Caenorhabditis elegans: one gene and its partners. The protein of the gene in region 1 purifies or fractionates together with the protein of each later gene. This does not show direct contact. Each region holds a gene or a part of one and is shown on either strand. Other genes may lie near its edges.

The links. The genes of interacting proteins can lie anywhere in the genome.
Region 2: the proteins of ctl-2 (region 1) and Y22D7AL.10 fractionate together in Caenorhabditis elegans (co-fractionation; one large-scale study listed by BioGRID). This does not show direct contact.
Region 3: the proteins of ctl-2 (region 1) and spp-5 fractionate together in Caenorhabditis elegans (co-fractionation; one large-scale study listed by BioGRID). This does not show direct contact.

Annotation. Positions count from the first base shown.
Region 1 is NC_003280.10:14,299,032-14,304,146, forward strand, and holds ctl-2 (Peroxisomal catalase 1), read right to left. Parts: upstream 2,997-5,115; 5' UTR 2,990-2,996; coding exon 2,936-2,989; intron 2,864-2,935; coding exon 2,219-2,863; intron 2,168-2,218; coding exon 1,895-2,167; intron 1,157-1,894; coding exon 626-1,156; 3' UTR 525-625; downstream 1-524. Other genes in the region: Y54G11A.7 (Tetratricopeptide repeat protein 38), read left to right, coding at 183-504; ctl-1 (Catalase-2), read right to left, coding at 4,590-5,111.
Region 2 is NC_003281.10:1,616,464-1,620,599, forward strand, and holds Y22D7AL.10 (10 kDa heat shock protein, mitochondrial), read right to left. Parts: upstream 2,467-4,136; 5' UTR 2,460-2,466; coding exon 2,433-2,459; intron 2,381-2,432; coding exon 2,267-2,380; intron 1,928-2,266; coding exon 1,808-1,927; intron 978-1,807; coding exon 912-977; 3' UTR 688-911; downstream 1-687. Other genes in the region: hsp-60 (Chaperonin homolog Hsp-60, mitochondrial), read left to right, coding at 3,296-3,442, 3,592-3,900.
Region 3 is NC_003284.9:7,319,250-7,322,118, reverse strand, and holds spp-5 (Saposin B-type domain-containing protein), read left to right. Parts: upstream 1-1,764; 5' UTR 1,765-1,765; coding exon 1,766-1,918; intron 1,919-1,966; coding exon 1,967-2,125; 3' UTR 2,126-2,182; downstream 2,183-2,869. Other genes in the region: T08A9.13 (uncharacterized protein), read left to right, coding at 1-120.

The sequences.
Region 1 (5,115 bases):
CATGATAAAGAACCTGCTGACGTCACATTTTTTAGGGAAAATTTCCCGCATTTTTTGTAGATCAAACCGTGATTGGCGAAAATTTAAAAACGTTGTATCGAAAGGTGTTAGGATATGTGGAATTAGATGTGATAATCAGCTCCTAGGTCAAACTTACCACATATCAAACTATCATTTTTCAGGCTGCTATCCGAGGACAATGCCCAAATCAGCAAGACCATCGGGATGCCCCTCTACGACGGGATGCTTGACTTTGCCCGCTGCGACTACGACACAGCTGCCGAGACTATGTACCCAATTCGCGATAAAGTTGTCCAAATCGGAGGATCTCATGCCCAGCGGGACCTTTTCGTTCAGACACTGATACAGTCTTGCATTCTGAGCAAGGATCCCAAGAATTGGGCTTTGACGCCTGAGCTGCTGGTGGAGAGGGAGACCCTGAAGCATGACTCGCTGTTGGGCCAGAGGCTTGCTGATAAGTTTAGAGCTTTACATCCGCTGTGAGTTGGTGGAGAGTTTAAGTTATATTAACTTTATTTATTTTTAATTATCATATTTTTTATACACAATAAAGCAAGTTATTACAATAAAAAGTACATTTAATTTCTTTTAATTTCAAGAAAGTTTAGATATGAGAGCGAGCCTGTTTCTGGATGAGTGCCTTGACACGAGCTCCAAAATCTGGATGAACCTTTGAAAAGTGATCGATCATTCCCTTAATAATGAAATCATGACATTCCCCGAGCGGCCCTGCAAAGTTCTGGCACATTCTCTCCCGAGCCCCGGTATCCAACACCTTCTCCCAGAATTGACGGGGTTGATCATAGTTGTTGTCATCTCCACTTTCATAACGATCAACATCTCCAGTGGCTGGGAATGTGGTATCCTTGACATCCGGACGAGTCTTTCCATAGTTGAAGCTGTTCGGGAAGAAGTTTGGAGCATGTTGCTGATTGTCATAAGCCATTGCACCATCACGCTGGGTGTTATGAGCACGGGAGCGGTACGGGCAGTTGACTGGAAGCTGGATGTAGTTTGGTCCAAGGCGGTGGAAATGAGTGTCGGTGTACGAGAAGATACGTCCTTGGAGCATCTTGTCTGGCGAGAACTCGATTCCTGGGACGATGTGGGCCGGGCAGAAGGCGGATTGTTCAACCTGGAAATAAAGTACTGTAGGATTACTGTAGTTTTGGAAAAACGTTTTTGTGTTTCCCAAAACTAGCTATTCACGTTGAACTCACGTGGTGTCAGAGTGTCTCATTTCGGCTTGATCTACTTTGATCTACAAAAAATGCGGGAGAAGAGACGCAAGGTTTTCAACTGATTTCGCATGGTTAAGAACTTGCTGAAGTCTCATTTTTTGTGCAAAAAAAATTCCCGCATTTTTTGTTGATAAAAAAAAAACAAACCATAATGGGACAGTCTGGCACCACGTGAGAGCTATCAATTCCGTCTTATGGGCCCTAGTTTCTCGTTAGAGCGCAATTGCATGCCTTACCACACTTCACACGGTAGCACAGAAACTAGATGGCTTGGTTCATGATAATCAGTCTAAAAACCTGTATTGGCTGCTATCTCGAAAACTAACCCAAATTTGGATTTTGCGATGCATATGAAAAATGGCCGCAAGAAAATTTACTCGTTCGGTAGAGCACGTTTGCACTCACCTAGCTTCTGTACCACCCTGACTCGAATAGTAATAGTTGTGGTGAATGAGAAGAACCTGCTCTCTTTCTGTGGTAACCCCAAAAAACTTTGGCTCTGTACAGTACCAAAACACAATCCTACGAGACTACCGTACCGCAAGCTCTCCGGTATAGAAACAGTCCGAGTAGAAAAGGGACCGACTAGGCCACCTTAGCGCGCAACTAGGCGGTCAAGCCCAGCCCATTACCTCAGCGAAGTAGTTCCTTGGATTTCTGTTCAGCACCATCTTGCCGACCTCGATCAGTGGGTAATCACCGTGTGGCCAAACTTTAGTGACATCAAATGGATTGAACTCCCATTTCTCAGCTTGTTCGAATGTCATCACTTGAATGAACATCTTCCATACTGGAAAGTCTCCCTTCTCAATAGCATTGAACAGGTCACGGATGGAATAGTCTGGGTCCGAAGAGGCAAGTTGACCGGCCTTCTCCACGGTGAGATTCTTCACTCCTTGAGTTGGCTGAAGTTGGAAATTATAGACCGAAAAATTTAAATAACATTAAGGACCCACCTTGAAATGGAATTTCACATAGATAGCCTTTCCGTCCTTGTTAACCATCTTGAATGTATGGGATCCGTATCCATTCATATGACGGTACCCATCTGGGAGTCCTCGATCGGAAAACAGGAACATCACTTGATGCAAAGCCTCTGGTCTATGAAGCCAGAAGTCAAAGATCATGTTGGGATCCTTCAGGTGAGTCTGTGGATTACGCTTCTGGGTATGGATAAAGTTCGGGAAGTGGATAGGGTCACGGATGAAGAAGATCGGAGTGTTATTTCCAACCAGATCCCAGTTTCCCTCCTCGGTGTAGAACTTGATCGCAAATCCACGTGGATCACGAGCGGTGTCGGCGGATCCGCTCTCACCACCGACTGTAGAGAATCTAATTAGCAGTGGGGTCTGCTTCCCGACCTTGTTGAAGATATCGGCCTTACAGTACTTGGAGATGTCATGGGTGACCTCGAAGTATCCATGGGCTCCGGCTCCCTTGGCATGAACGACACGCTCGGGGATACGTTCACGATCGAAATGAGCCATCTCATCCATATAAACTACATCTTGCATGAGCATTGGGCCACGCCGCCCGGCGGTGAGCACGGCGGTCTTCGAGTAGATCGGAGCTCCATTTGAAGTTGTGATCACTTGGGGTTTCTGAAACAAGTTACTGTAAATAGTAGTTGTTGTTGTAGAAAATGCGTCTGTGCCTTTAAACTCTAAACTCACTGGATACGTCTCCTTGTAGGTTTTCAGTTGATTATCCGATGGATCGTTTGGCATTTTGGTTCTGAAATTTTAGTTAGGAAATTTAGAATTAAATAAAACTCTGAACAAAAAAATGACCACGACGAGGTGTAATACGGAATATGGGTTGGGAGAGACAAGAGAAACAGAGAAAAAAGAAAGAAGATTGTAGCGTTATCACTGATAAGGAACATGTTGTTGGACACCAGACTACGGCATAGTCTCGCTTATTTTGGACAGGCAAAAAAGTAGGGGGAAAGACAAAAATTAGGTAGGTATTGATTATGGGTCAGGGTATACGGGGAATGGATTGATCTACAAATCTACAGATCTACAAAAAATGCGGGAGAATAGACGCAGAGTTTTCAACTGATTTCGCATGGTTGAGAACGTGCTGACGTCACATTTTTCTGGACGAAAAATTCCCGCATTTTTCATAGATCAAAGCGTAATGGGACAACCTGGCACTACGTGGAAAAGTGGTACCTGTACGCAATTTGTCTACCGTATACCTGAACTTTTGGGCTTGTCGTTTTTATCAAAAACGAGTGGCCCAATATTTTTGTGATGTATATAAAAAATGTCCGAAAAAAATAAACTCTAAATTTTTTGGTCCAAAGCTTTTTTCTTATCTTGCGCCTAAACCTGGTTAAACTCAAATTATCAGTAGAGCGCATTTGCATGGATGTACCACTAGCCGGGCCGCGGGGTGTTGCTGTATGGTGCATATGTGCAAACACCATAACTTACGCGCAAATTTGACAAACTTACTGTCAAAAAGGCGCGCTATAAATAAGCAATATATTGACTATTTTGAATTTTAAAAACAAAAAATAATCCAAAGTTGTCCACGAGCAGTACACAGCGGCTTGTAGAAGTATTGCGCGTCAAATATGGTGCATCGAAAAATGATCATATTTTACGCTCAATTTTCACTTCTACCGAACTGATTATTGATGTTTTCCGGCGATTCTTATACTCCCAGTCGCGGTGCTCTGTACAAGAGATGATGACGTCACATGTTTATGATAAGCGATAAGGGAAACCCAAAAATAAAATAAAGTGTTGTGTCGGTCTCGCAGCGATGAAATTGTTGACCAAATTTTGCAATGTTTTCACCAAAAACTACGGTACCCGGTCTCGAAACGACAAATACTGTAACTTTAAACTTTCGTTGACGCGGATTTTTTATCGATTTTTTTTTTAATTTTGTGTTTTTATTGTTATATTTGAGTTGTTTTCATCGAAAAAATATAAAAAATCGATAAAAACTCCACAGCGACAAAAGTTTGCAACTACAGTACTCTTTAAAGGCGCACATATTTTCGCAATAGATAAAAAACTGTCGTTTCGAGACCCGATACCGTAATTTTGGCGCGAAAATTGCTTTTACAGTCTAACTTAAGTTTTCATCTTTAAAAATTGACTGAAACAAAAAATTTTCCAGATTTTCTTCAAACAGGAAAATGATGACGTCACGTGGCCAATTTTCTGCCTGATAAAACGCTATTTAATTTCCGGCTTTTTTGATTTATGTGCACATAAAATTTCTTATCATCAAAAACCAGAAGAAATACAAAAAAAAGAGTTTATAAATAACGAGATTCTATATACAAAAGTTTGAATATCAAACAATTTAATGCTTCTTCTGGCAGAGCTGATGGCGAAGAGCATTTCCGAAATCCGGATGAACTTTCGTGAACTCTTTGACCATTCCATTTTGAATTTCCTCCAAACAGCCACCCAAATCACTAGCCAAATTCCCAACGAGCCGATCTCTCTCCTCCTCCTTGAGCACTTTCTCCCAGAACTGACGTGGCTGCTCGTAGTTGTGATCGTCTCCAGTCTCATAACGATCAACATCTCCAGTCGTCTGAAATGTCGACTCCTTCACATCATCACGAGTACGGTATCCGCGGAAACTGTTCGGGAAGTAATTCGGCGCATCTCCCTGGCTTTCATAAGCCATTGCACCATCGCGTTGAGTGGTATGAGCACGGGAGCGGTACGGGCAGTTGACTGGAAGCTGAATGTAGTTTGGTCCAAGGCGATGGTAATGCGTGTCCGTGTAGGAGAAGATACGCCCTTGGAGCATCTTGTCTGGCGAGAACTCGATTCCTGGGACGATGTGGGCCGGGCAGAAGGCGGCTTGTTCGACCTGA
Region 2 (4,136 bases), on another chromosome or scaffold:
TTTCTAGGGTGAAATGTCACGAAGATTTCAAATTTTTACATGAAAATCTGCAAAAATGAATTTTAATACAATTTTCCTGACGATAAAGTCATAAAAACTCATTTTTTGACATTTCAACTTTAGTTTTATGAATTTTAACTAACAAATTCAGATTCAGCACCTCATTTTACCCATAGGCATGTGATTTTTACAAAAAATTGAGAAATTCTGCATTTTGTCGTAAGCACTGCGGTGTTTGCGTTCTTTTGAAGCTACCGTACCCCAAAAAAAATGTTTTTTTTTGTTGAAAATTGGAAGGAAAATCCTCAGTTTGCGTTCCAATTCGAATTACCGCCAAGAGTTCAAGATGTTCGATGGAGCGCGCTTGCATCATTTTAGTTTATTTTTGGATCTTTTTGACGGGAAATTCAATTTCCAAAAAACCGAAAAAAAATCAGTAAAATAATGCAAGCGCGCTCCATCGAACAAATTAAATTGGCGGCAATTCAAAATTTTTCAAAAAATTGCAGAAAAGCGCTAAAAATATTTAAAAACGGTTAAAAAATAGCTCAGAGCTTGAAAAGGTTCGACCACTGCCGTGTCTTTTAAGTACGCCGTTTGTTTTTTCCGGTTCTCCAAGCCACATTGAGCTTTTCTCGGTTCGCCCTGTCACATCGAAAACATTGTCTGTGGCCAGAGAACAAGAAAAATCTGAAAAATCATTATTTAAAATCGAAAAAAAAGAAAAACAATACCGGCGAAAAATCAAGGAAAAAAGGAACTATAACAATCGATTTTTTCAACAAAAAAGAGGAATTTCCTAAAATCTAAACTCAAAAAATTGAAATTAAAAAATTAAATAAACAGAGAGAGAGAGAGAGGGGAATAATTGAATGAAGATTTGTGAGACCGAAAGCCATATGGAAGATAATTTAATGGAAGACTCCGAGAAGATCAGACTCGCGGAAGATTGAGTATTCCTTGTCCTCGACGACGACCTGAAATTGGGGAAAAATTGTTGGGATTTCCTGCGAAAATCGGTCGAAAAAATATGTTTTTGCGCAATTTTCGCGGTCTGTAAGCAAAAAATTAATTAATTTTCAGGTATTTTGTCAAAATTTTGGCCTAAAACTATATTTCACTGGAAAAAACTGACATTTTACCGCCTGAAATTCAGTTTTTTTGGCGTAAAAATCATATTTTAACCTAGTTTTTCCTTAAAAAACGAAGGAAATTTGGGATTTTTTCAAAGAAAATGCTAGATTTCCGGTGAAAATCGGCACTTTTTGTGGATTTTCAGCGAAAATAAACTGATTTTCAGGTTTTTTCCTAATAATTTAGAGCGAAAAACCCATGAAATTCAGTTTTTTGGCGTAAAAATCGTACTTTAATTCAGTTTTTCTCGAAATTCGTTCATAAAAATGAATTTTTACAGAGAAAATGCTAGATTTCCGGTGAAAATCGGCAAATTTTGTGCAATTTTCGTTGGGTTTTAGCGTAAATGTACTATATTAAAGGTATTTCCCCAATAATTTAGAGCGAAAAGCGCGTGATATTCAGTTTTTGGGGGAAAAATCGTATTTTAATACAATTTTTCCTGATTTTTCTGAAAAAATCTTGGATTTCGGCTGAAAAAACACAATTTTTGTGCAATTTTCGTTGATTTCAATGACTTTTCAGTAATATAACGCTACTTTTACACTGAAATGTTAAAAAAAATCCCGATTTTCGTCCAAATTGTGTGAAATTTCAACGGAAATTCAGATTTTCACATTAAAAATTCGCCAATTAATCCATATTTTCGCTCGAAATTCGTCGCATTTTGTACCTTGGTGCCTCCGTATTCTGGGAGAAGGACACGATCTCCTGGCTTCACAGTCAATGCGACGAGCTCTCCCTTCTCGTTGCGAAGTCCGGCTCCGGCAGAGACGACGGTGGCTTCAAGGACCTGAAATATTCGAAAATTAGGTGGAAATTGCTTTAATTTGAGTGAAAATTCGGTAATTTCGGATAAAAATTGGACAAAAACCTCCGCGAGCAGTCGGAGAGCGTGTTGGCAGGGAAAATCGATAATTGCATCATTACACCAGACTTTACGGAATTTTCGGTGAAAATTAACATTTTTCGTATAAAATTGAAGGTTTTTAGCTAGAAACTGTGTTTTAGACGCCAAGTTGCACCATTTTGACGGTGAAATTGGCATTTTTGTGCTAGAAATCTGCTCCAAGACGTTGAAATTTATCAGTTTTCACCTGAAAAATCAATTTTTAGGCCAAAAATTGCTCACTTTTCCCTGTGACTTCTCCGGGAGCATGATTCCTCCCTTTGTCTTGGTCTCGGCGGCGACTCTCTCGACGAGCACACGATCATAGAGTGGCTTGAAGGTCTTGAGGACATTGCTCTGCAAAAAAATACGCGTTTAATTCGGAGAAAACACCGGGAAAATAGCTTACCGATCGGCGGACAGCGGTGAGGAACATTTTTCGGCTGAAAAATTGGTTTTTTGAGTTTTAAAATTTATTTTTAGCGGGAAATTACATGAAAACAACGAAAAAACCCGAAGAAACCCGCGAAAATTCAGAAAATGATCAAAAAACCAAAAGAAGCTTCGAGAAAAAAAGCAGAAAATAAATGTGCGGCGCGAAAAATCTCGTGCGGCAAACTTGCAAATCTAGGCGTGTCGGGCCAATGGCAGACACCGCGCCGCAAATTCAGCCAATCAGCGCGCTCAGCTCCACCTAGAAAAGTGTGCGCACCTTGCAAAACTGGGCGGAGCGAGTGAAATGATGCAAAAGTCTATTCTGATGTAAATTAGCCATTTTACATCAAAATTTGCGTCATTTTCGTTATTTTTCTCTCATTTTTCATATTTTGAACGAAAAATTGAGGTTTTTTGCTTCTATTTTCATCAGAAACCATTGAAAAATGCTTATTTTTGGGCCATTTTTCGTCGAAATTAGGGGAAAAAACTATTCTACAGTTTTCCCAGCTATTTTCTCATTTATTCCTGTATTTTTCAGTCATTACCTGCTTCCCAGACGATAATGCAAGGCTTCTCGCTTCATTTTCATAAAAAACGATTGAAAAATGCTTATTTATAGGCCATTTATCGTCTAAATTAGGGGAAATATCTGTTTTACCGTTTTCCCAGCCGATTTCTCATCCATTCTCGTTATTTTTCACTCCTTTTCTGCTTCTCAGACGATAATGCAAGGCTTCTCGCTTCATTTTCGATGAGAAACTCTGATTTTGCTCGCATTTTCGCCTTTCCGCTGCAGATTTTCACACAATTTTCGTAGTTTTTCAGACACAAAAGATGCTTCGCCTCGCCAGAAAGGGACTTCAGACCGCCGTCGTCAGATCTTACGCCAAGGACGTCAAGTTCGGAGCCGAAGGACGACAGGCCATGCTCGTCGGAGTCAACCTGCTCGCCGACGCCGTCTCTGTCACTATGGGCCCAAAAGTACGGGGATTTTGATGTGAAAATTGAGGAAAAAATGCTGTAAAAAAATCTATTTTAACGTATTTTTATACACAAAACTTCCGGTTTAATGCAAAATTTAATTTTTTTTTCTTCATAAATACAGCCTCTAAAACTCCAAACTCTTTCAGGGAAGAAACGTGATCATCGAGCAGTCGTGGGGAAGCCCAAAGATCACAAAGGACGGAGTCACCGTCGCGAAATCCATCGACCTCAAGGACAAATACCAGAACCTGGGAGCCAAGCTCATTCAAGATGTCGCCAACAAGGCTAATGAGGAGGCTGGAGACGGAACCACCTGCGCCACAGTTCTCGCCAGAGCCATCGCCAAAGAGGGATTCGAGAGCATTCGTCAAGGCGGAAACGCTGTCGAGATCCGTCGTGGAGTCATGAACGCCGTCGAAGTCGTCGTTGCAGAGCTCAAGAAGATCTCCAAGAAGGTTAATACCGGGAAATTGTGGATTTAAATTCAAAAGCCACAGTGATTTTTGGAAAAATTGGGATTTTTGACCCAATTTTGAAGCGATTTTCATTTGATGTTAGAGGAAAAACTAGAATTTCGCTCAAATCTGCTTGAAAATCGCGAATTTGTGGCTAAAATCAGTTGCCAGGAATTCAAAATCTTCAAAAAACCGTCATTTTTTCCCAATTCGGGCCATAAAGCTTATTTGTTCGA
Region 3 (2,869 bases), on another chromosome or scaffold:
AACGAGACGCTCACCAAAAAGAAAATAGCTAAAGCCATTATTGCTGCACAAAAAGCTTCTCAAGCTGTGATGGATGCACGTGTAATTATGGGAGCCAAAGGCGAGGAACTGACAAAGTGAAAATAATTGATTTGTCTGTTAAAATTTCTAAATTATTGAAATTTTATAATTAATAGGTCTCAATCTGATGCAGTCTTTCCATATGAACATTGTTGCATTGTCTTAATTCTGACATGGTCTTGGTACATTGTCTGTCCAACATTTCAAAGCAAAATATCATTATTTGGGAAAATCTTTAAAAGCATTTATATGTTGTTAAAATGACCCAATATCAAAACGCAAAACGTTAGAAAAAAATTATCTATGAGCAGTTAGTTCGATGATATTGGTTGAAAACTCAGTTAAATATGACTATACTTTTGTAAGTCGGCCAAAACATGTTTTTTTGAATTTTCGCCAATTTTTAACCATGTTTTAAATAGTTGTCATTGACCAATATAGAAATTTTAAACCTGCTGCATCGCTTCCATTTTTTTTTCAAAAAATTTACTTAAAAAAGGCCAGTTACCAAAACTTCGATTGAAAATTTTGAATTCCCTATTCACAATGGGAGATCAGAAGCAAAGACAAGGAAATGAAAAATTATATCAACACTTTTCCCATAGGGAGTGAATTAATTTTGACTCTTAAAGCTAGACAATGTGCGAATATTTTGAATGTTACCACATGATAAGTTTTTTGTTAGAGTTATGCGATATTGAGTCATAAATCGGTTATAATATCATACAAAGGATCTTAGGTTTCTAGGGAAGTTAATAGAAACAGTCTATGCGGGAAAATCTGAAACGGAATGAATAACCTCACGTTCAAAGATATAGTTGCAAAAAAATATTAAATGTTGTTTCAAACCGCTCCGAATACAAATGCCACAAGTCCTTTCATAATTTTCAGAAACAATAAAGTTTTATCTAAAACTAATCCATTGCCTCGAACCTCTCGGTAAATCTAGTGGACACTATTTTGTTAAACAACTTTTACTTACTATGAATCTAAACTTATTTGATGACTATTTTTGCAGTCTTACAAAATTGAATAAGTTGAACAACATTATTTTTCCAGATGAACATCAGAGCGGAATAAAACACTGAAACGTTGTGGAAACTAAATACTACCGCCGAAACAGTAATATATTTCTGGAAAAAAATAAACACCTACTTCTCTTACTTTGTGGTATTTTTACTCGAAAACAGTTATATATTCAAAATATAGTTTCATTAATTTTTTAAATTCATGTTTATGTCGTGGCGTGGCAATAATACTAAATGTTTATATTAACTTGAAAGTTCGCAAAAAATTGATCATAAACGAGTTTATATTTGTACATTACCTACTCGTTCTATCCAAAGAAAGTTTAAATATATTTACAAATAACAACGTAAGTTGACGTTATTCTAAATGTCATACATCTGGATCGTTAAAAAACAGTTATCATGCATTGCAACATAGTATAAATGTTTAGTACATTCCTGCAAGCCGGACAATTTTCCTATTTATCACGAGTTTAATGCATATGTTGTCGATCTGTAACCTTTTTTCTATTCCATACATTATGCTCTCCGCTTTCGACGCTGCTTCTTATCAAATGGTCAAGTAATCAAAATTGGGAAGTTTTTGCTATAAATGCGCCCCTATCACCGCGTGCTCTTTCAATTCTTCCTTGCGTTTTGATGCTTCAGTGTTTCATTTCAATTTATTTTATTACAGAATGAAGACTCTTCTTGTACTAGCCGTTTTGGTCGCCGTTGCCTCAGGACTTGCCATCCCAGAAAATAGAAGCGCATTGAGCTGTCAAATGTGTGAGTTGGTTGTCAAGAAATACGAAGGATCCGCCGATAAGGATGCCAATGTCATCAAGAAGGTAATAAATCCGTGCTAGAAAAAAACCAACAACTCTTGAATATTCTAGGATTTCGATGCTGAATGCAAGAAGCTTTTCCACACCATCCCATTCGGAACCAGAGAATGCGATCATTACGTCAACAGCAAGGTAGACCCAATCATTCACGAGCTGGAAGGAGGAACCGCTCCAAAGGATGTGTGCACCAAGCTTAACGAATGCCCATAAACGGATCATTGAAATTTTTACTTGTTTGAAACTTTTACCAATAAATTTTCGATTTTTAAAAGTTTCAACCAGAATTTTGATAAATATAGAATAATTGTGACCAGAAATGTATTGGACCTTATTTTTTAGAAAGGGCCTCAAGTCTAATAACGAATCATAATAGTACTGATAAGGACTGTAATCCAAAAAGCTTCAATCCAGGAGAGTGGGGAACAATTGAAAAAATGTGTATCATTATGATTTTAGAGTTTGGAACTTGCCCGGTCTGCACACCATGTACACGTGACTGTTATTGCTTGAAACGCTGAAAGCTCGTTGCAAGCTTTTCTTGAGTTTCTAGAATTATCTTGAAGCTTGAAAGCTTTTCGCGCACAATTATTGATTGAACAGCGAAAAATGAGTACACTTTTTTCAAAACCTTTGATACTTTTTTGACACATTAGGAGTTTGGTTTGATAAGTTTTCTTTGTGAAATTGTCCTGCCCTGGACACCTAATTTTTACAGATAACAACATACAATTTCAGGGAAGTGCCGCGTCTTGATGATTTGCAATATATAATACCTGTAACTTTTTCACAATTATCGAAACTGTGATCACGTGAAATCACATAATATTCCGTTTATCTACGGATACAACAGAAAATTAAGTTCAATAGATCAAAAAGTCATCGAATTCCTTCAAAAAGACAGAGGGAGTCTGAAAAAAATTTGTTTAATGTAGGAAGTCGTATGCATAATACATT